Schizosaccharomyces pombe: one gene and its partners. Changing the gene in region 1 together with any one later gene gives a genetic interaction. Each region holds a gene or a part of one and is shown in the gene's direction. Other genes may lie near its edges.

Region 1 (8,550 bases):
ACAAACCAATGAAAAATTAGGAAACCAATGACAGCATGAATACTCAGGAAAATGAGAGAGAGAAAACGAAATTAAAAGAGGAGAGTGAAGGCACAGTAAAAGGAAAGGGAAACAAAATAACAAAGCAAAGCCAAAACAAAAACAAACGATGCTAGAAAAGAAGAAGGCGCGAAATCAAGGGCGCGCAAAAGAACAATTAAGAGTGTAGAGAAGAAAACGCGTGAAATTAAAAAATAAAAGGAAGAGAGGAAATGGGGAGGAAGGAAGGAGAAAACGCAAGCAAAGTTTGTTGATGTATATAGGCAAAAAGCCGTCGGAGCCAGAATGAGCATTAACGGAGCACATGAGAGGGAGACAAACCTTGTTGAGTGGAGAGTGGAAGGAGGGAAATGGAGGAAATCGTTAAATGGGATAATGAAAGAGAGAGAGAGAGAATAAGAAAAAAGAGCGAGGAAGAGTGGAGTGGTTGAGGGGAATAGTGGGGTGAAAGGAGGAGGAAGGAAGAAGGAAGGGAATGCAGGGAGTGATCGTTAAAGATTTGGAAGAGAGTGGTTGAATGAAACGGTGAATACGATAGTGAAATAGAAGGAGTCGATATGAGACTACGTGGATTGTCTTGTCTTACTAGTTCTAGGTAAACATCTGTAGCAAAAGATTGGTTCCTGCTGTTTGAAAATCATTTCATTTATTGGAGAATACGGTGGAGAAAGGAAGATCGCTAATAAGAAAAGGGAGAGGAAATTATCATAGGTTATGTTTGTTTTATTTTACATTGATCTATTGAAAGAAGGAGGTGCAGAGCGATTCTTGAAAAGGTCGTTTACGGTACTATGTTAGAAATTGTTAATGAATCTATTGGAAAAAGAAAATCACCCCAAGCGCTAACAAGTTGAAAGGAGCAGGCAAGAGAGAGTGCAAGGCAATAGACGGATGCAGAGTTGTGGCAAAGGAGGTGCGGAAGGAGCAGTGCGGTGAGGTAGAGAGGTCGAGAAAGCGACACTGTTGTAATAGGAAGAAAAAGGAGTGTTAGGGATGGCAATGGCCGAAGAAGCAAAAAAATAAACAAACAAGAAAAAGAAAAAGAAAAAAGACAAAAAGACAAAAAGAGTAGGCAATACACATGAAGAACAAATGATAAAATAAAAACTAGACTACGAAATAAAAAATAAATACTGAACTGTGAAATAAAAACTAAATTATGAAATGAAAAAATAATAAAATAATAAAATCAAAAAAAAAAAAGAATAATCATAATAAATGATAAATTAAATTTTTTCTTTTTTTTTTTCTTTTTCTCTTTTTTTTTATTTTTCTCATTTTCTGTCTCCTTTTTTAATTTCTTCAACCTGTCACATCATGAATATTGCTGCTGCCTTCTTTGCAGTCGAATGAAGAAATTAAAAAAATTTCTTTCCCACTAATGATGCTCCAATTGGGGTGGTAAAGGTTTGAGGGATGAAAGAAAAAAACAATTTTTTTTTTGCTGCCGATGTAGCGACGGAGGAATCTGTCACAGCAACAGCAACGATAGTAGTATTCCATCGTATTTTATCCCATACCATCATCATATCTCGTCCATTGTAGCTAGTAATAACACAATGATCCTATATGATTTGAATCAATACTGAGTGTGCTAGATATACACTTATACTTTTTGCTTCACTCTTAAATTCTCACTTCTCTTAAATGTTCACTTCTCTTAAATTCTCACTTCACTCTTATACTCTCACTACTGTAGTTTTTACTACTACAGTATTGATTACTACTACCAAATAAGGGGTATTTTCTTCCTACTGTAGCATAGTCTATTCTACTCTACGCTTCACTGCACTGCACTGCAATGTATTACACAAGCAAAATCATTTAACAGTCCATTTCTCTGTATACGCTACAATGCCTTATGAATGTTTAACATTTGACCAAGAGACTGTGTTTCACAGCACTTGGGGTTCCCCCACTTGACGCCTTGGGCTAAACACTGGGGGGGAGAGAAGGAGGGGGTTTGCATAGGGAAGAGGAAAAGACGGTTATGTTATTGCTTGATTAAGGAATTTCTTGTTTTATGGTTTCCTTAGTAAATGCCGCCATTCGGTGACCTCCACCTTTGGTGTCGAGGTTGAGTTTTCTAGATAAATAAACAAGGATGCTACGCTCGTCATCGCCGCTCATATCGACCCTTTTCAACAAGTTCTGGCTTGGACGAGTTTGTCCAGTTTAGGGACTCTCCGCAGCTTAATAAATTTGACTCCCGGAGGAATCAGAAGATGACGTTGACAAGAAAAAGCGGACACATTAGGGCTAAAAAAGCCAAATCGCCAAAAGTCTCGAATGGGGATGCGTTGCGATGCGATAAATGAGAATTACGAGTCGCAGTACAAGCACGGTCGAGAGAGAGAGAGAGAAAAAATGCAGTAGGAGGAAATAGAGAGACGAGATAAAGCGACAATATAAAATTCAAATAAAAAGACTTCGAAAATGGATTCAAGATTGTAAAATATGCACAATCATCAAAATAATTACCCAATTCATCTTTACAAGAATATTCAATTCATCTTTACATTATCACTATAATCATAACCACAACTTTAACCATCAAAACAATACACACCAACAAGAAAAATTCACTAAATTCTACCACCTATACATATTTAAAAAACAAACAAACAAACAAATACCAACACCAACACTTATATTTCATATGCTGTTCACCTCTGGTATTCCTCTTGTCTATACCTCTTCTCTTCTTCTCTTCTCCTCTTCTTCTCTTCTCCTCTTCTCCTCTTCTCTCGTCTAACTTTGCTTCACCTTGTTTTCTTACCTCTCCCCTTCCTCCTTCCTCCTCCCTCTCCTTCGCTATCTTCTCCTTACCCCACACCTCCCCACCCTCTCTATCCTTCCTTTAACCCCCCATCACCATTGCCCTCGTTAAGTTACTTTTTAGACTTCTCTCGTTAACCTTCATCCTTTCGAGCGCTCCGCCTTTCCACCTCGCCCATCTCCTTCCCCTCCTACCAGCAAGCGCCACCATATTTCTCTATCGACTGCGTTATTCTGAATTACAAAGTGGATCCCTTCCTCGTGCTCCTTTTACCCCTCCCTTTTCTCCAATTTTACCATATCGCAACTGCACTCGAATACGTAACAGCATATATATATACGAAACGTACCGCCCGGAGATCACTCCCCTCCTCGAGTATTTAGCTAACCCACACCCCGCGTTTTTCATTTTTAACCGCACACCACACCACCATACTCAAAGTAAATCAAGCTCCACCGGTAGTATCCCCATACTACCAGTGTGTGACAAAGTGAAAATTTTTTAATTTCAAGGCTTCAAGACTTGTTTGCTTGCTTTCTTCCATTTGACTTGGGTTTTCATAGCATTTCCTTCAGTTCTCTGCGTTGCCTGCTACTTTGGGATTTCCTTAGAGTCGTAAATTTTTTTTTTTCTTTCCCAATTTTTTCAATTTTCTCTTTTCATTCTTCCTTTTATTATTATTTTATTTTTAGTTTTATTCTATTTTATATTTTTCTCCCTTTCCTTTCTTTTCCTTCATTCTTCTTTTTTGTTTGTGGGTCTGTTTTTATTCTATTTTTTCCTCTTCTACTTCTTCTGTATTTTCCTTACATCCAACTTTGGAAAATCTCATCCATCCGTCTTACATTGCCTCGACTTTGTATCGACTGTTTTTTTCTCACCTCATCTGCTTTGCTTTGCTTTGCATTTTCGGATCTCAATCCGGTTCCTGTTGTATTCGGTCCGTTAATTTTTAAATTTGTCGCCTTCTCGCTACATCATTCCTCTCTTCGTTCGATCGAGGGATCCGTCTTTTTTCTTTCGTCAACAAATTGACTTGTCTATTCTTCCTCCTCTTTCTCCTTTTCTTTTTTGTCCATCCATTAGTCCTTCTGTGTGTTCGTCTTCCATTGCCACTCACATAATCGTCTTGTTGGATCCTTTTTCTTGACTCCCATTCAATCGCCTTTTTTTTATCTCTTCGTATAACTTGTTGAAAGTTTGGCTGCTTTTTTCTTTTTCAAGCTTTCTTCCTCTTCGTCCTATACTTTACTCCGCCTTTAGAAGCTTTCTTCCCATCCGCCATATCTATATCTATTTTATCTATTATTATATATAGGTGATCTTGTTATATTGTTTTCCTTTTCATTGGTTCCTTCATTGGCATTTTCTATCAATCTCTCTTCTTCGTTTACATTGCCTTCCTCCTCGTAAACATTTTCCTTTTTTGGCTCTCATCTGTCCAACAAAGGATCCTGCTTATTCCTCTTTTTTACTTCAATTCTTTTTATTATTATTTACAAAGTTATTTTTTTCCCAAGTTGTTTTCGTAATCTTTGGAACTTTCGTTTGGGCTCCTTTGAAGCATTCAACTATATAACTTTGAATTTTATTTTTTCCAATCCTCTCTCATCGTTGAAATTTCTTCTCGTTATTAACTAGAATTCCTCTAATCTTCTTTTTTTTCTCTTCCAGCGATTTTTTTTTATTATCTTCACTATTACTATTATTATTATTATTATTATTCATTTTTTTCTTTAAACGGTCGTTTCTTTCTCTTTCTTGGGTGAAATAAGCTATTTTTTATTAAATACTACCCTTACTCGTGCTATTTTTTTCTTCTCTTTTTTTACTTCTCCTTCTTTGCCGTGCTCTGTTTATTACTTCGTCATGTCCGAAGCCACCACTGCCACAACAACCGGTAAGCCATCCCGCTCTACCAAGAATCCTGACGCTCCTCGTCCTTACAAATGCCCACTATGCACCAAGGCCTTCTATCGTTTAGAGCATCAAACCCGTCATATTCGAACGCATACGGGTGAAAAGCCTCATGTTTGTACTTTTCCTGGGTGTGCCAAACGATTCTCTCGTAGCGATGAATTGACGAGACATGCACGCATCCATACAAATGCAAACTCTAGAAGGAACGCTGCTGCTGCCGCTGCCGCTAATAATTCTGCTAGAAGCTCCAATTCTCCTGCTGGCAATTTAGAACCATCTACAAACAATGCTGGTGTGCATATGACCAATGCTTCAATGAATCCTAATGTGAATCCTTCCTACCCCGTGTTCATTCCTCAAGTTGGCATGTCGGTTGCACCTCCCGTCGCCACTGCCGCCGTTTCCATGAGTTATCCTCACCATTACTCGGCTTCAGTGCAACAACAACAAGCTACTTTCGTTAGTAATGGACAGCCTCACAACCTACCCGCTCAAGCTCAACCTGCCACTATCTACGGTATTCCCGATGCCCTTCATACCACTCAAAATGGTACTACAATCCATGTTACGGGTACCCCTCCGGGTGCTGTTTCTCAACGCTCGGAACCCGATTCCAGATTGTCGTCCATGAACGAGATGCAATTGTTGGCTTCAGCGGCTGCTAATCAATTGGATGCTGCCCCTAGAATCACTCCTACAAAGTCTTCGGGTGTTAATTTAATGCCTTTATCTAATGCTCCTTCCCCACCGAAGCAGATGAATGTAGTAGGTAGTCTGCCATCATCATCCAATACTTCTCCTAATCATCTCGCATCGGTTCCCAATAGAGGCTTAACTTCTAACTCATCCACTGGTTCATTTACAAAGTATACTAATGGCTCGAGCAACTCTTTATATAGTAATTCGTCTATGCAGACTCCCTATCTGCCTAGCAAATCTAACAGTAGTACTAGCCTTCATTCAATGTATGGCGTTGGTACTACGGCTTACGCTCCTCAGTCTTTACGTTATGCCCATTACAACTATTTGCCTTATTCTCGACCCAGCGTATCCAATGGCTTTGATGATGATTCTTCGTCAAGTGATTTTGCCCATTTCCGATACCAGCGTCGCTCTCGCCCGGTTTCCCCCTGCAGCACTGCACCGAGTAGTCCTACCTTTTCCACTAGGAGCTTTAGTCCCACCCCAGACGTCACACCTCTCGTTACACCGGCACATTCTCCTCGTTTGAGACCCATGGATGATCCATCTTGCGTTCAATTACCTTCTATCCGCTCGCTTTCTCTACGACCTTCTCAAGTTCCGTTAATTCCTCCTTTGAAGTGTGATCCTAACGCCTTTTCCGCGTCTACACCAGCCTCTGGTGCTGTCTCTCGTACTCCATCGTCCGTCTCTCTGAGCTCGCTCTCCAACGTTAATAGCAGCATGCCTCACAAACCTGCATCCCAGTCGAATGTTGGTCCAGTCCGTATATCATCGAATCGACGATCACGCAAGTTCTCCTCTTCTTCGCGTGTGAGTGTCAGCAACCTTTTGGCCGGATCACCGCCATCTCCTTCTTCATCCACAAAGTCGGCGTCGTCTTCCTATTCCACCACCACACCGGCATTTTCAATAGGGCCGTTAACTCCTATGACCAAGCCCTAACCCAATATTTGCGCTGTGAACGCTAGTTACCTTTGCTTCCTTTAAACCATCTAAACACCTTGGTTGTGTGTTATGCTATTTTATAAATTAAGTATTAAATTTTTTATTAGTATCATGAGTCTCGACATTTGAGGTTCCATTGTTCAGTTTTTCTTTTTTTTTTTGTTTTAAATTTTTTTTAAACTTCTTGGCATATAATTAGTAATGTTATTTTGTGTTTATTAGACTGCTTTCATAGGTGAAAATTTATGTTATATGTTTAAATTACTTCTTGATCAGTGTATGGGTACAATAGACCATAAACTAATAAAGTTATTTTTTTTTACCGATGGTGTTTAATCCTTTTTGCTTTTATTTAGCTAAATTTATTGTATATAAAGTTGTCTGCAGATCTTATCAAAAAGTTGAACTGCAGGATCTACATTAATGACTTTAACTAGAACTACAGCAAATTACCATCATAATTTAACGGCAACTTCACAATTCGTATATAGAATTATTATTTTAATTCAGAAACAAACATCTGATATGAGAGACCTTCAAGTCCTAATATTGTCGCCATAGTTAATATTAATACATTACTACATACTTTGTTAAACAATGATTAGTGACAGTTCGTTTCGGATAATTTTATTCATAAACTATAAGTAAGCTATAAACTATTCCTTGTGCATCTCTCAAAAAGAAATCAGAAGTTAATGGAGAACAAAACAGCTTCCACACAGTTAATGATATCCTTGAAAAAATATAGAACACCTTAAAGTATGGGTCAGTAAAACAGCCAACACAAAAGTCAGACAAACAGACGTTGAAAAAGAAAGAAACAAAAGGGAACGAGAAATCTCAGACTGACGTGCAAATCAGATGGAAAAAGTTTCAGCATACGATGCTCAGTTGAACTATGCTTTTTTGGAATCATCAAAGAAATCCTTTCTCCATTTACTTTTCCAAACGTCAATTCTAACAGTAGAAAACTTACCTTAAAAGTATAACATATACTAAATTCACAAGTCTTCAAGCTTGAAATTTAAGTATCCATACACAAAAGCGCAGTCACAGTGATCAAAATTTCGGCTCACAAATGCCCCAGTATTTGTTAGAAATGCAAGAAGATTAATGGAACAAATTTACTTTAATTCTACAGTTTTAAAGATAAAAAAGAAAGTCATAAACTTTCCAATCCCATAATCCAATTTACCAATGAGATGATTATAATTGATGTTTTAAGAAATCGACTCTTTTATCTTTTGTAAATGCTGCTCAGCATTTGAGGCCGTTGTTTCGTGATATGTTTGTTTCTTTTGTAGTGCTTCAATATCTTCTCTTAAACTTGCCATTTCTGCGTCCAAATGTGTACGTACGGAAGCCAAATCGGATTTCATAAACCTGTAAATAAACAGTTAGTAAATGACTTTACATATAGATTGACAGTACGGTCAATTCCATTCCAAAAGTGCTGTTTTTGCTAATTCCGTATTCTTTCCCTATTTTTATAGAAAAGAAAATAAAAATACATGTTTCATTTTATGACACTTACATCTTTCCAAGAGAAGTATATACGGCCTTATCTTCTCCAACATCCTCTAACTCTTTTTTGGCTAATTCACTTATTTTTAGTGCCCGTTCCTTGGCAGCAATCTGTACCATTATGGTCCTCAGTTGTTGCTGTGAATCAACCGCTTTCTCTTGTATTTGACTAGCTAACTAATATGCCCAAAGCTCATTAGTTTACCATGTAACACAGTTAAAAAGAGGGAAATTCCTAACAAAATAATTCTCTTCTCAATGATGAAATACGTACATTTTGCATTATTTAAAGGAAACTTGGGTATATCTCAAGAACTTATTTTTTTTGGATTGAATTGCTCTTTCCAAAATTATGGTACAAAGAATAGTCCTTTTAATACTTTTTTTATAGACAAATCAAGAACTTTTTCAATATATTTGAATATACCACCTTTACAAGTATATCAAGTCTTAGGCAAAATGTTGGTTAGGCCTTAAGTACAAAGCTGGCATGTTACAAGCTACTTTACACTGCTTTTATTATCGGTACGTTTCGCAAATGTGAATTACATAATACGCCACAATTTGTAATAAATATTTTGTGAAATGTTTTGCCATATCCTTAAGTTCTTCCTTACATAAATTGTTGGCGATGGCGT
Region 2 (7,951 bases), on another chromosome or scaffold:
CTTCTCGTTAACATGAAAATCCTAAAATATCTTACATACTTGAAACGAAGAAATAAAGCAGCCATACACGTGGCTGTGCTTACCAAACTCAAGCCAACTATAATAGGGTTAGCAAACTTAATAAATTATTTGACGAAAGAAAGGATTTAAAATATTCCACAATGAACTAAAGCTTGAGCGATTAAATCAGCGTAACTCACGATTGGGTTCAATTTGAAAGTGCTTTCTACTTTACCTTCTTCATTTGCTTTGACTCTAGCTTTGTAGGGAACGATTAAATCAGGTCGTTTAAGTTCTGCAGGCGCCATATTTTATGAATTTTCGTTGTCGAGACTTCAGAACTGGTGAATGGGATGGTTCCTCTACAAGAATATAATGAAGTTAGTAATAAAATGTGTAAAATGGTTTTAGGTTAGGTTATTTAGCATTCAAATATATCGTGGGGGTTAAGAGTTCTTATCCCACTAAGAATTTCAACTATTTTAGACTTGGCTAAGCATTAGAATTAAAATCGATTGCAGTACCACGTGGGGGCTTTAGCAAGTCATAGGAGGAAACTGATCCTACTTGGCGAGTGAGAAATGGATTTCTTTTAGCATTCTAAGTCTTCTATATAACAATTTAAAGCTCAAACATAATATAATATTATTTATACTATTTTAAAAATTTAGGAACCAAGCCAGGTGAACTTAAGAAGTTCAAAGAGCATTTAATCGTTAGATGAAATAATAAAAAAAAAAATTACACTCGTTCACTCGTTTTCAATTTTACGAATAGGTTTGGCAGGTGATCCTACAGCCAACGTATTAGGTGGGATGTCTTTTGTAACAACAGCACCCGCTCCAATTACACTGCCTTCCCCGATAGTAACACCTGGGAGAACTATAACTCCCATACCAATCCAAACATTGTCCTGAATCTTGATAAAATTTTGTTTGTTAGTTGTAAGATGTTTCAATAACTGGACTAACGCATACGTTAATTGGTAAACCAAATTCAATTCCGGAGTTCCTTGCTTTAAAATCCAAGGGATGTGTTGCTGTACATAGTTGAACCTGGAAAGACACCATTAGTATATTTATTTTTTGAATGAATGACTTGAAAGTAACTATATATATATATAAACATACATTGGGGCCTAGCATTACATTATTACCAATAGTAATTATGGCAACATCTAGAAATGTACAATTATAATTTGCAAAGAATTTTTTTCCAAAATGAACGTTAAATCCGTAATCAAAAGCCATAGGTGGCTCAATCTCTGGTGCTGAAGATTCGTCAAATACAAAAACTTCAGCCAACAGTTCAGCTCGTCTTTTAATCAATTCTGCTGGGCCTACATTTTCCAAATCTCCCATAGTGTCATTAAACCTTCGCATTAATTTTTTAGCATTACATCTCGCTTGAGTCAACTCCTCGTCGTAAGCCTTGTACCTGTTATTTAGTAATTAGAATATCTCCCTGCGTTCAATGTGACTTCAAACATGTCAACGAAGATGATATATTAGCTCGACAAGTTTTAAGCATTAGCCTTACGGTTGACCAGATATCATTTTTTGGTATTCAATGGTTTTCGGTATCATTTTTTGTACACGAGTACGAGTCATTTCTGTCGGAAAACAAGTATATTCACTAGCATTGACAATGGGACTAGTAGAGTTATCGATGTATAAATAGACTTATATATATATATATATATGTATTGATATCAATATTAACAAATTGCTGATAAAACTATACGGAAACTTTTTAGTGAAATAGTTTGTAAAACGTAAGTAAAAACATCTCGATGATATATAGCGTCAGCTGTTACACTACATTATGCCCCACTATGCAACATATCATTAATTGTCGCATTGCTTTATGTCTGGCCCCTACTCGTATTACCACCAGCATACCAAAATTTATCAAGTTACAAGTAAATAGTTAGTGTAGCTTAACAAACGCTGAGGGCCGTAAACTGACAAGCAATAACAAGATATGCAATGAACGTTGTCCGTCCCTTTTTTAATCTTGCTTTCCTCCTGTATCATTAAACTGATTAAACTGGGTAGTAATCCCAAACTAATGTCATATAAAAAAAAAATTCAAAACAACTTAAATAGTACATCAAACAAAAATTGATAAGTAAATAAGCAATAAATATGATTTAAAAATAAATCCAAAGTGTATTTATTAATCGCCCTTGAAGTGTAAATGGCATATCGTGTCAGATTAAATGCTCAATTTCTGACGGCTTCGGTTTGCTGCGCTTAAACATTTTGCTTTAGTGTTAATAAATTTCAACTATGGGATTTTTTCATCCTTCTTCATGATAACTAGATTATATGAAAAAAGCATCTTTAAGACAACCAACAATGTTTTAATATCAGTAAAGTGCGTCAAATTTCGCATCATTAAACAAATAATGTCACTTATGATTAACTGAGTCATTAGCAAATGAAATGTGAATTTACGGGTTAAATACTATCATAACTTTTAATTAATACTTATCAAGATAAAACTCACTGTAATAATGTCTTACAAAGGTCGGTAAACAATCTAATTAAACAAGGATCAGATAATAAATTGATTAAACACAAATTTTAATTTTTTTATATTGATATATAAAAACGGTTAACAAATTTTTCCATCAATAAAAAAAAAATGAATTACACTACGTTTCAAAGTTATAACTATTTTTTTATAACAAACATCAACTGAAAAGCAAGAAAATCTATATTCAAAAAAATAATATAAACGCTACAAAAAATCAAACAGTAAAGGGTTTCGAATTGCTTTTCTCTATAATTCAAATGAATTTCAAAATAATTGGGACAAGTTGCCAACACACACGCCATACTAATTTTGTGATACTTGCTCAACCAAAAATATGTAGCACCACATTCTCTATTTAAAGATTAGCGCAGCACAAGGAGCCGCTCGATAAAAGTGCTGCTACAAACGTTCAAGAACACAAGTTTATTCTTGTACCACAATTCAAGTGTTGCTATTGTTGTAAAAGGGCGTATATCAATCGGATTCAGTTTTTGCAATAAGTCTGACTGAAAAAAAAAATGGCGTCAGTGGAGGATGCCACGAAAGTTCAAGAAATGCTGGATGCGTTGAAGGCTGAATACAATGCTTTGGCTCATCATAGCTTCGCGTCCAAGGCGCGCGGAAACGACTATGAATCTTCTAGTACGTGTTTGAATAAAATAAATTAAATTAGCTATTTTTTGGAAACTAACATTCTGTTCTATTGCAGTGATACAATCTCAAATTCAAGAAATTGAAGCGTTCCGAAAAACCGTGGATGATATGTATGAAAAACAAAAATCTATTAGAGAAACGTAAGTTTTTATATGTTAAAGGTATCGAGGGATTATATAGTATCTACTTCTTTTCTGTGAAATTCATCATTATTTTATAATAGCATACGTGTCGCTCGAGATTTATATGCTTGAAGTAAAAAAAAAAAAACCTTTATAACATCTGTCTTCACCAATTTACTAACATTTATAGGTACGAAAAAGATATCAACAAGTTGAAGCGAGAGCTTGAAGAATTAGGTGTCGAAGCGAATACCGCAAGTTATAGAAATCGTGGAGAAAGATCTGAACTTGCCGCTTCTAATAATCAAGTTACCCATATTGATCAGGAACATCCCTCTCAAACCAAATCTACTTCTCAGCCTCCAAGTAACCATCTACCTGCCTTTCAGCAAATCCCTCCAATTCACCAATCAGCTTATCCTCAAAATAATGTTGCTGAAGTATTGATGCCTCCAATTCCTCCTTCAGTAGAGGCTTCTAGCGGGCAAAATTTTAATCAGGGAATTGCTTCTCAAAATCCCGCGATATCTACATCCAATTTACCTAGTACTACACCTTTATATATCCCTCCTGTTAATTACGGAGCAAATCAGGTTTCTCAACAACCAAATCCTCAATTGCCTGGTGTTTCCAATTATTATAATCCAAGTGCTACTTCAAAACCTGCTGTGAATGTCCAGCCACCGCGTATTCCTACCAAAGCAACTCCTTCGGCTGAACCTTCTATGACTGCTTCTGCGAATGCTGGTTCTATATCCCAAGCGGGTCCTGATGGAGAATATCAGGGAAGAGAACAGATTGCTCCAGTTTCAGATACAGAAGCTGCTAGAAAGACAACTTCTCAGAGTTGGTACGTCACTTATAACCCAGCATGCAAAAGGGTTTTTAATATTAATCTCGTGCACACACTAGAGCATCCCAGTGTTGTTTGCTGCGTTAAGTTTAGTAACAATGGCAAGTATTTAGCAACTGGCTGTAACCAGGCCGCTAATGTCTTTGATGTTCAGACTGGCAAAAAACTTTTTACTTTGCATGAAGAATCACCTGATCCTTCCCGTGATTTGTATGTGAGAACCATTGCTTTCAGCCCTGATGGTAAGTATTTAGTCACGGGAACAGAAGATCGTCAAATAAAACTCTGGGATCTCTCAACTCAAAAAGTTCGTTACGTATTTTCAGGTCATGAACAAGATATCTATTCCTTAGATTTTAGCCATAATGGGCGATTCATCGTCTCTGGTAGTGGCGATCGAACTGCACGACTCTGGGATGTGGAGACAGGTCAATGTATTTTAAAGTTAGAAATTGAGAATGGTGTGACGGCAATAGCCATCTCTCCAAATGATCAATTCATTGCAGTTGGTAGTCTAGATCAGATAATTCGAGTATGGTCTGTGTCGGGTACTTTGGTTGAACGATTGGAAGGTCATAAGGAGAGTGTTTATTCTATTGCCTTTTCGCCCGACAGCAGCATTCTTCTTAGTGGAAGTCTTGATAAGACTATCAAAGTCTGGGAATTACAAGCAACTCGTTCAGTTGGCCTTTCAGCTATTAAGCCTGAAGGTATTTGCAAAGCCACCTATACAGGACATACTGATTTTGTTCTTTCAGTAGCTGTTTCACCCGACAGCCGTTGGGGATTAAGCGGATCGAAGGATAGAAGTATGCAATTCTGGGATTTGCAAACAGGCCAATCTTATCTCACTTGTCAAGGACACAAGAATTCAGTTATTTCCGTATGCTTTAGCCCAGATGGTAGGCAATTTGCTTCGGGAAGTGGTGATTTACGTGCTCGCATATGGTCAATTGACCCTGCATCTCCTTGAATTTTTGTTCCTGTTTACATATAACTATTTGCTCTCGGAAATAGTTAACCGCATTGATTTTTGGTTACAAAGTTTACAAACTAAATTTTGTAAACTCTATTACTACACTGGTATATTTCCTTAATTTGTATCATATTTTTTTTGCAATATTATTTCCTTTACTTACGGTCACAATAGACAAATCATCACTCAGTTTTTTAATGTCACTAATTTTGGAGAATGGCTTCTCTCATAAATTAACTGAGACACTTTTTATTTAAAAAATAAACAATTAATAAAAAATTCCTTAATTTTTAATTTTAGTTCTATGATAAATGTTGCATAACTTGAGATAATACTTAATACTTTTCAATGTAGATTCTTGAAATACATGTGGTTGATTAAACATTTTTTAAATGGTTATTCTTGTATTTAGTAATTTGCATATCTCCACCTTGACTCCGAAATTCACCAACAGATTTATCATATACTCGCTAAAATTATGTATGTATTAACCATCTTCTGACTTCTTCAACGCGAAGAAGACTCATTGTTTCGATTTTATTGACTAAAACATAGAAATTGAATAAATCCTAATCGATGCTATATTGAGGTGTGCTTTTACAATCCGTTACAGTTCGATATCTGCACGTTTCTTAAGGCTATCTTTTCAGGAGTTTATAATAATCCTCCACGGCTTAAGCAGTCTATAATTTGGGTTTACTTCATTAAATCTTTAATTTAGCACTTTTTAAATATATTTAAAATCTTAATACTTAAATCGGTGCCAACCCAGGACCTATATTACGTTTGGGTTAAAGAAAAATTGTCGTTGTTTGCTGCATCGATTTATATCTAAGCTATGAAGGCTTTGGATATAGACACGATTCTCACCCAAATATCGAATCAACAGTCATTGGATAAACGCTACAAACGCATAAAAAGGCTCATCAACAATGAGCAGTTTTGTAAAAATGTAATCCTACAAAAACTTGTTGATTCCACTAAAGACATTATTGAAAATAAAGTTCACGGAAACATACTGGCAGCCACTATTTCCTTATGGACTCATGCAGCTGAAAAGCATAAAGAAATGTCTTCCGATGACCGTGCACTATTATTCAACGAGCTGTCAAAGGTTCCGAATTCTGAATACTATCCTGCTACTGTAGACGCCTTGATTGTTATTACATCCCAAGGCGAAAGAACTGAGTCTTTTTCAAATGACATACTTAAAGTTTTGTCTGAATGGTTGACTGATTTATTTACGATTATTGATGATATGCGAGCTCAGTCGAGAAAATCCTTCAAAGGAAGTGCTGAATTGAGAAATTACACCCGTTGTTTTCGTCAGATAATTCTCTTGCTTACGAATATGTTCAGGGTGGGCTTTAATTTATTTGATGAAATGGAGGTTTCTTCTATGCTAGCGAATTGTGTGTGGGTCTCAAAAAGCACCACCGATGAAGAAGACATTGCATTAGTTTTTTCGTTATTAAATTGTATTATATCCTATGGTCGCATATCTTCCGCTGTTTTGTATTCTATTGTTGAAGTAGTATGTCGAGCAAAATTTGGCTTAGTCGCAAGCTCACAATCAGCTCAGCAGATTGTTGAGAAACTGTTGAAGACAGCGACCAAGTACGAAGCACTTAATTCCCTAAAACGGATAATGGAAGAGACAGATGAAGGTTCTTATATAGCGATTATGGGTGGTATTCAAATCGTGAGTGCTCTCTTTACCGATATCCCTAGATCAGTGTATTGCACTAGAGGAATGCTGCTTGGATTCCTTCAAAGATCCTTAAAGAATAAATCTAGTCGAATAGCTTTAGAAACCACTCGTTCTTTATATAATGCTTTGGAGCGCCGTTCTTTTGTTGAAGTGCTTTATGCAGATGAATGGATCAGCCTTTTAGATTTGCTTGTTGAAATATCTTCATCACTTCCTAAATCTCTCAATTACCGACCTGGAACTTGGCAGCACATTGAGCCTAATATAATTGAGTCTATTGCATCGTATCAATTACAACATCTTCTTTTATTTAACGAAATTTTAAAACCAGACTCTAATCATTTTGTTCTAGAGAAGTTTCATGAGTTCCTGAAAATTAATTTTTCATATTTAACCCCTACACTTAGCCAAAAGTTGTTTACTGTTCTTGATTTACGATCACAGTTGCCATATTCGGAAGGATGGCTTGAGGATCAAACAATTCTACTTAAATCTTATTTTGATACTAGTTTTTCTTTGGATTTCCATGTCTACTTAATTGGTCTCTTTAGAAAAGTTCTATTTGCTTGTCCAGTTGAACTTCGCCCTGAAGTGTATGCTCGAATGCTTTGTCCCTTAGTGAAAAGTTTGGATAAATCTAGTTCCGAAGTTATAATTGATGAAGTTATTTCCTTAGTTTGTGATTTATCTTGGATATATCCATCGAATGTATTTCACGAGGTGAAAGACTCATTATGCTTTTATGCTCATAACAGCAGTAATGGGGATTTACAACTTAGATCTATTCAGGCAATAGTAAGCTTAACATTTTATTATGTTTTGCTACCCGAATTTAAATCAGTGCTTTACGATGGGTTGGTCGAAATTTCGTGTGATTTCAAAATTCGACGTACTTTTCGAATTCCAGTATTGAAGTTATTATTACAACTACGAATAAACACTAATGACTATTGTTTTGTTAACTTGTCTCCCGCTCAGTTAGAGTTAATATCTGTATATAGTACGCAATGGCATAACCCTTTTATATCTGAAGAAGCTCAACGCTGTCGGGACAATAAAGTAAAGGACAGAGATTTGTCGTTTTCTCCAGTTTT
Region 3 (6,979 bases), 800 kb from region 1:
AGGACGTAGGTTCAATGTGACAAATCTGGGAAAAAAAGAGAACAAAGAATAAAATGCTTGACAAAACACAAAAACAGGGTAGCAAAATGATATTGGACGAATAAAATTTAACACAATACTAGTGAGTGTTGTATATGAAGGTAGATGTATATGTATGTGAAAATAAGTAATGCTTTGTAGATGGAATAATATATATAAATATTTAATATTTATATATTTTTAAACAAAAATTAATAACTGGCTTGCTGAAGCAGCAACAAAATAAAGATGAGAAAAATTAAAAATTTTCAAGAAAAGATACTCGAGAAATTAAGATTATTATGTTGTGATATGAGATATCAGAAAAAACAAGGATGCTTGTTTAATTTTATAGTCTTTAAAAGCGTCTTTGAGGATTTCTGTATGTACGAAGTCTTGGGTAGAAAGGCCGACCAAAGGGTAGCGACTATAAGCGATGTAAGGTTTAATGATGTGGAAAAAAAAAATGCCGACTTAGTGAAAGTAAATATGTTACAATACAAAGTGGTGAATTAAAAAAAAAAAAAAAAAAGAGAGAGAAATGTAGAAATTTTATACATGAGAATATGTTAAACAAAGGACAAAATCTAATAATGTCTGCTTAAGACTGGTAGGTACATGTCATAGAAATAATTTACAACGTATATCAATTAATTCAATTGAGAGAATATCTAGTACGAAACGTTAAGTGCTTGTTTAATATGCGCCTGAAGTTTTTGTTTGGCTTGAGCTTTGTTTACATAGCAAGGACAAGACAGAAGCTATTATGGTATTTAGTGGAAATTCATTGTTTAATAAAGTGCGCAGCATTATATCAGATTTCCAACGTATTTTAATATTCGATAATGTATTAATGATCAATTAAAGAAACTCTAACTAATTTTTCAATTGGTAATTCGTTATTTGTAATGATTCATTTATAGATTTATTTTATTTTTTTTTATTTTTTTTTTAATTTTTTTTTTACACTAAGCTACTGGCAGTTTGTACGTTAAGCAAATACAAAGTCGCACGTGGGTGTTTTACCAAAAAGAATTGCGAGTGAATAGGATAAAATGGACGATGAATTTGTAGATTTTTTTTACTACAATTAATCAATGAAAGGAGTAAAAATTTAAAAAAAAAAAATAAAAAATAAATAAAAAATAAAATTAAATAAAGGACAAGATGAAAACTTATTATATGAATTATGGATTTACTTTATTTTATGCTCTTACAAACCGTAACTGGACTGCTGGAATTTCTTCTACTAGATGAGCGTCTATTTGTGTCCTATATATTTAAATTTTATTTTCTCAAATTACATATATATATCAATATGTTATTTCGATTATTTTCGATTTTAATTTTGATATTTTGGAAATTCACTTTATCTTCTACATAATCGCATTTCCTATATCAATCATCATCATCATTTGGACATCTTGGATCCGCTAATTATAGTAACGTTGTATTTTCACTTCATATATCACACTTTACCATTTAACTTTCTTATGGTACGTCGAGTGAGACACAATCGATACCTTGTGTTCTTCAATAGCTATTCCCACAGCACATGAGTCTTTTTACGTAACCCAATAACCTCTTCCCCGGAGTGATCTGTAGCGGACCATTTACTCAATATTGAAACTTTTTAATTACCACGTTGAATCACAAATTGCCAACAAAACACAAGCGCTTTATTTATTAAACGCATCTGACGTTTCAGTATGTGAATTTCTATTACTAGTAGTATGGTATTTTGTCGCACTTCAAATTTGGCCACCGTTACTATATGAGACGAAGCAATACGTAGCAGTAATGTATTTAGTACTCATTTATCAATGAAAAAGATCAAAACAAGAGATTAACTGAGTGATATTCAATAGGATTTGCTAAGTGAAGAGATGATCAAACATTTAATGCTGACTTGGTCATCTCCAACCTATATTACATAGATTTGATTTCTCCATGTTTGGGGAGAGAAATTAGACGAAGGGGTGGATTTTCATTCGTTTCTTCGACAAATAAGTCTTGAGCAAAAGTCCACTCAAAATTCGAATGATGTATAGCGCTATAGCAGTGGTAGAAATATCTGTTGTTTATGATTGCCAATTTTGCTAAGCAATGGTAATGATGATCATCTGTGTAAGTACTATGTATAATAATTAGAGAACTGAGTACCCAATATTATAGCATGCATTATTATGCTTACAGTACGAGATTACTCTCAAACTAACTAATAAAATTAATTACTTGATGACTTGACTTATCTATTCTCCTGCCAAATTATCAAACAACATAAAGAGTAAATTTTAATTTTTTTTTCAAGATTGGGTAGATGCTGTTCGGTATCGCAACGTTGAATTATGTATGTTTCATACTGCGTCTTAATATTATTTAGTACATATGAATGTGTTGACTTTGTTCATCCATAACTCTAATTCAAAAGCATTTTTAACAAACAAAGCGCTTTATTGCTCCATAGGCGCGCCTCGTTTCATCTAATCACTTCATCGTTGCACACAAATTTTTGTTTGCCTTTTTGCAATGACAAAATTAGGATTTTGTTGTGCAAAACCGACCTACACTGCATCTACAACTAGAGCAGCTGCCCCACTTTCCCACTTTATGAACAAGGAAAAACGTCCGATTAACCGCTTGGCTATTTTTCTCTCATACTAAATCCATCCTTATGTTTAATTTTAATTTTTAAATTTTTAAAAAAGAATAAAAATTTTTTTGCCTAGTTTTACCTTGCTGGGATGAAAGCGGGCAAGCAATGAAATAGTGGTTGATTGTGATGTAAATACTGAAATCGCAGATTATGAAATTTTTAACTAGGCCACATACATGGTGGATTAATTAGGTAGACGGTGGTATACGGCGGGATTTACAGAGATCTCAGTCTAATGTGGTAAAGAGGTCGTGGATTAAAAAAGCCTTACCACTGCGTACCCCTATTTCGTTGTATCACTAGGTACTTCCGTCACTGCCTACCTCAACGCTATCCAGAACCACACACTGACCTAGATTTGACAAACTGCACGGTACAGTAAGTTTTGTTGTATGCAGAGGAAAGAAAGAGATTTTAACTGGAAAACTGTATAGAATGCCTTTGTCAACTCAATCGTCTGATTCTTTATCGAGCGCTGGACGTCAGTCCTTTGGCGTGAACTCGGTCTCAGATTTTTTGGCACAATTTCCCATTCCCACTAATCTTCCTTCAAATAAATGGCAAGATATCCCTGTAACATTTCTTCATGATAATGAAATTGCTCTCATAGACCCGGAAACTTCCATGGAAGAGGCAAGTTCCATTTTGATCGACCGAGATCTTAGCGCCTTGCCTATTGTTGCTGCTAAGGGAAGCAACGAGATTGCTACGACCTTTGACTATGCAGATCTTAACTCATTTTTGCTCATGGTAGTGGGTTTTGATGATTTCAATGATGGCAGGTTTAAAAAGGTCGCTGAAGATATTCGTGCTGGAAAAGTCATTACTGCTTATGAGGTTGCAAAACTCGGGAAAAACAAGGATGACTTTATCACCATCCCTCACACCACCAGCCTTGGACGTCTCGCTGAGATTCTTTCTTCCGGTATTCGTCGTGTTGCCGTCACTAACGAACAGGGTGAATTGAGCTTTATGGCTTCTCAGCGCTCTATCATCCGCTTTTTGTGGAATAATATTCGTGCGTTTCCCGATTTGGAGCCTCTAATGTCCAGGACAATTCACTCTTTGGACATTGGAAGCACTGACATCACCTGTATCTCTGGAGATCAAAAAGTCGCCGCGGCCTTGCGACAGATGAATCAAACCGGTATTGGTTCACTTGCTGTTGTCGATGCTCAATTCCGGTTACTTGGCAACATATCTCTCGTTGATGTTAAATACGTTACACGTTCTTCTTCTGTCTATTTGTTAAACAAATCATGTGCTCACTTTTTGAGTGTCATTAAAAGCGAACAGGGTATCCGCGCTGGTAAGGATAGTGCTCCTGCTTTTAACATCTATGAATCCTCTACTTTTGCTTTTACGTTGGCTAAGTTGGTGGCTACCCAATGTCATCGTCTTTGGCTTGTGCAGTCACCTTCCTGCCCTCCTTCCCCAAAAAATAACGCACATCTTTCCCCTGGATCCATGGGTGGTGTTAAGGTCAATCAATTGTTGGGCGTTGTTAGCTTAACTGATATCATATCTGTTTTATATGCTCACATGAAAGGCACTCTTCCACCCGCTCCCCATAGTGCTCCTTCGCTTAGACATGGACGTCGAGGAAGCACAAGCAGCCATCGTAGCCATAGCAAAGCTAGTGTAGATACACAACGTCGGTGATGCTAAATATTTGATGATTTGAAACACCCTTTTTTCTTTTTCTCATTTGAACCTCCGTTTTATTTCATCTTTTACTGTTACCTCTAACATTCCATATTTCATGAACGGGTTTTGATACTTATTTTTAATCATCTTTAAATGGATAAGATTTTGGTTAAATCTCCAATGATTTCTTATTAACCATTAAAAATATACTTTTACTTATGTTTTGACGTTAACTGACGGACGCTTTTCTTTATACATATGTTCTTATTAATGAATTGTCTCCCGTTGTTGATTTACACGGCAGCAGAGTAGCTCTTTCAGAGGGTTAACTTTTATATCAGAGTTATGATTGAAACTTTGCCTCTTGATATATATTATGTATCCATCTTAGCAGCACATTACTTTATTTTTTTGTCAAGAGTGTTTTCGGCGCTAGTTTTTGCTTTTTACAGCTTTGCCAACTTCCATAATGTTAAATACGTAACAGTTTACACAGAATCACAGAGGCGTAATCGAATTGTTTGTAGTGTACATTTTCTTTTATTTTCCAGAAGTAACAAAAAAAAATATGTTTTTTAAGTTTTGGGCCCTTTAAACAGTAAAATAACATGTTATGGGGAGATAGAATGGATGTTCATATAGTTCTGTATAAATTAATGAATTGTGACAGAACTACGATATTCAAAATTTCAGTAATGCAATAAAATAAACCATAATACTAAGCTATCCCGCCAAATAACTATCGAGAGGAAACGAAAGTGAATCTGCGATTTTTAATACATATTCGCGAGAGACATTGACAATGTATCTAGGGCTATCCAAAGAGCGAAGCACACCTTTGGAAGCCGAAAGTATCATTTTTAAGGAGGCGAGTGTAGCTATTTGAACAAAAACATCAGCGGTCAGAACTTTCTCTACCGGGGAAGAAATGGCATAATAAATAGCAATCAACCTTTCTACTTCAAAAGGTTTAGGTCCTAATGTAAGTTGGGATATTTTTACAGCAGACCGGCCTTTGCTCCCAGCGGTTCTTGGTATTTTGGAAAATAAAACCCCTTCATCTTGAATTTGTTTACGTTTTCTTCCACGTCGTTTCGAAGTTTTAGAAAATGAAAAAAATTGGGCGTCTAACCGGCTTGGATTATAAGATGCTAGGAATGCAGAAACGAGTAAATATTTGGAAACGAGCGACAAGTTAATAGATTTGGAATCAAGAAGATTTTTTATTTCAGTCGGGTTGATTATGTGAAGTCTTTTAGTAACCGTAGCATCTGACACTAAAAAGTTTTTAGCCAGCTTGTGAAGTTGAGCATAATCAGCAGGATGTATGTCTCCTTCAACTATAGGTTGAATGAACTTTGGCCAATATCTATCCAAAACACTACGAAAAGACCTATAGTCATTTAAGCACTGCACTCCAAAAACACTCCAAAGAAACGAGCAATATTGCATCCAGACGCTGAGCTCAATTTCGTCTTCAAAAACACTATCGCCAGATCTATCCAAAAAATCTAAATTAGGAGGTGTTTTTTGGCATATCTCTAATATTTCCGCTTGGGTATATTGTGGGAAAAAAATCACTGCAATAGACAATGTTCCCAAGTATTGAGCAGGGTGAGAATGAAGTACAAAAATGATTGACAGATTGGGAATGTTTGCCTAAAATAGTTAATCAGTGGGTCTGTAAATATTTACTTACAACAATCGGAAGCTGAGCTAATTGTGAGAATAGAATAGTAGAAGCCTCAGCGAAATCATCTATTTGATCCAGCACCTATAACTCATATTAGTATTTAAGAGTAATAAAATAGGAGAGGAACTAAGTACCAAAAATGTATGATAGTCCCTTTTGGACATTGCCTGTTCCAGTAAATAAATAAATCCACTGATATTAATGCCTTTTTTTAATGCTATATCTTTGTCAACACCGACTTTTATAAGGATCCGGTACCAGAAATGAGCGACTGTAAAACAGTCTTGCAAATTAATCCAAACATTTTCTTCTTTTGACAAATCAAAAGCGGTCCGCAATAAAAAAGTCTTTGCTGTACTAGCAACTCCGTAAAGCACAATGCTTGGAACACGACAATCCTTATTAAAAAGTAAACATGAAAGTTTCTTTATTTGATCTTCCCTGCAAAAGACATTCTTTTTTAATTCGTCTTCCAACTGATACAAATGCATTTCATGGCAATATGCTTATGCTTTGGCATATGGTGTCGTGCAGTGAAACATTCATCGCTCGAAGCAAAAACTAGTGGACTAATTTATACAAATAAACGAAAGGTAATTAATGGAAAACGAAGAATAATATTCGTACATTTCAAATACAATTTAAACTTTGGAATTATTGAAATCTTAATTGATTGTTTACTATAAGCGTTGTACTTGGTTCAAGGTGTATTTTATTGAGAAGCCTTGTCGTAACAAAATGTGCTTAAACAGTTATTCTAAAATAGAATTATAAAATTTTATTTTTTGTAATATATTTGATTAATAGTAGTAAAGAACAGAAGTTCGTTTCGCTTGAGTTATTAGAAGTTTTCTTTCTCCTAGCTAATTCACTTTCAATACTAACTTCTTCACCGCTAATGCATAGCCAAAATTATTTTTGAATAAATGGCCTAGTGCGGAGTACGTAGAATTAAATATTGCTTA

What was found.
Region 2: of scr1 (region 1) and tup11, changing one enhances a phenotype caused by changing the other (phenotypic enhancement), as found in Schizosaccharomyces pombe (one study listed by BioGRID).
Region 3: of scr1 (region 1) and sds23, a mutation in one rescues a mutant of the other (synthetic rescue), as found in Schizosaccharomyces pombe (one study listed by BioGRID).

Annotation. Positions count from the first base shown.
Region 1 is NC_003423.3:1,748,902-1,757,451, forward strand, and holds scr1 (DNA-binding transcription repressor, glucose sensing, Scr1), read left to right. Parts: upstream 1-3,191; 5' UTR 3,192-4,687; coding exon 4,688-6,385; 3' UTR 6,386-6,718; downstream 6,719-8,550. Other genes in the region: pfd1 (prefoldin subunit 1), read right to left, coding at 7,609-7,771, 7,923-8,089, 8,187-8,195. UniProt on the Schizosaccharomyces pombe protein: Involved in carbon catabolite repression. Represses the transcription of various genes including the inv1 gene.
Region 2 is NC_003424.3:296,820-304,770, reverse strand, and holds tup11 (transcriptional corepressor Tup11), read left to right. Parts: upstream 1-2,974; 5' UTR 2,975-3,059; coding exon 3,060-3,183; intron 3,184-3,250; coding exon 3,251-3,335; intron 3,336-3,359; exon of another isoform or gene 3,360-3,507; coding exon 3,508-5,143; 3' UTR 5,144-5,493; downstream 5,494-7,951. Other genes in the region: protein pat10, read right to left, coding at 40-97, 236-308; SPOM_SPAC18B11.09C (serine O-acetyltransferase activity), read right to left, coding at 752-919, 978-1,055, 1,131-1,437, 1,540-1,610; SPOM_SPAC18B11.11 (GTPase-activating protein), read left to right, coding at 5,985-7,951.
Region 3 is NC_003423.3:947,772-954,750, forward strand, and holds sds23 (protein sds23), read left to right. Parts: upstream 1-3,005; 5' UTR 3,006-3,052; intron 3,053-3,108; 5' UTR 3,109-3,109; coding exon 3,110-4,336; 3' UTR 4,337-4,521; downstream 4,522-6,979. Other genes in the region: origin recognition complex subunit Orc5, read right to left, coding at 5,045-5,980, 6,021-6,095, 6,149-6,505.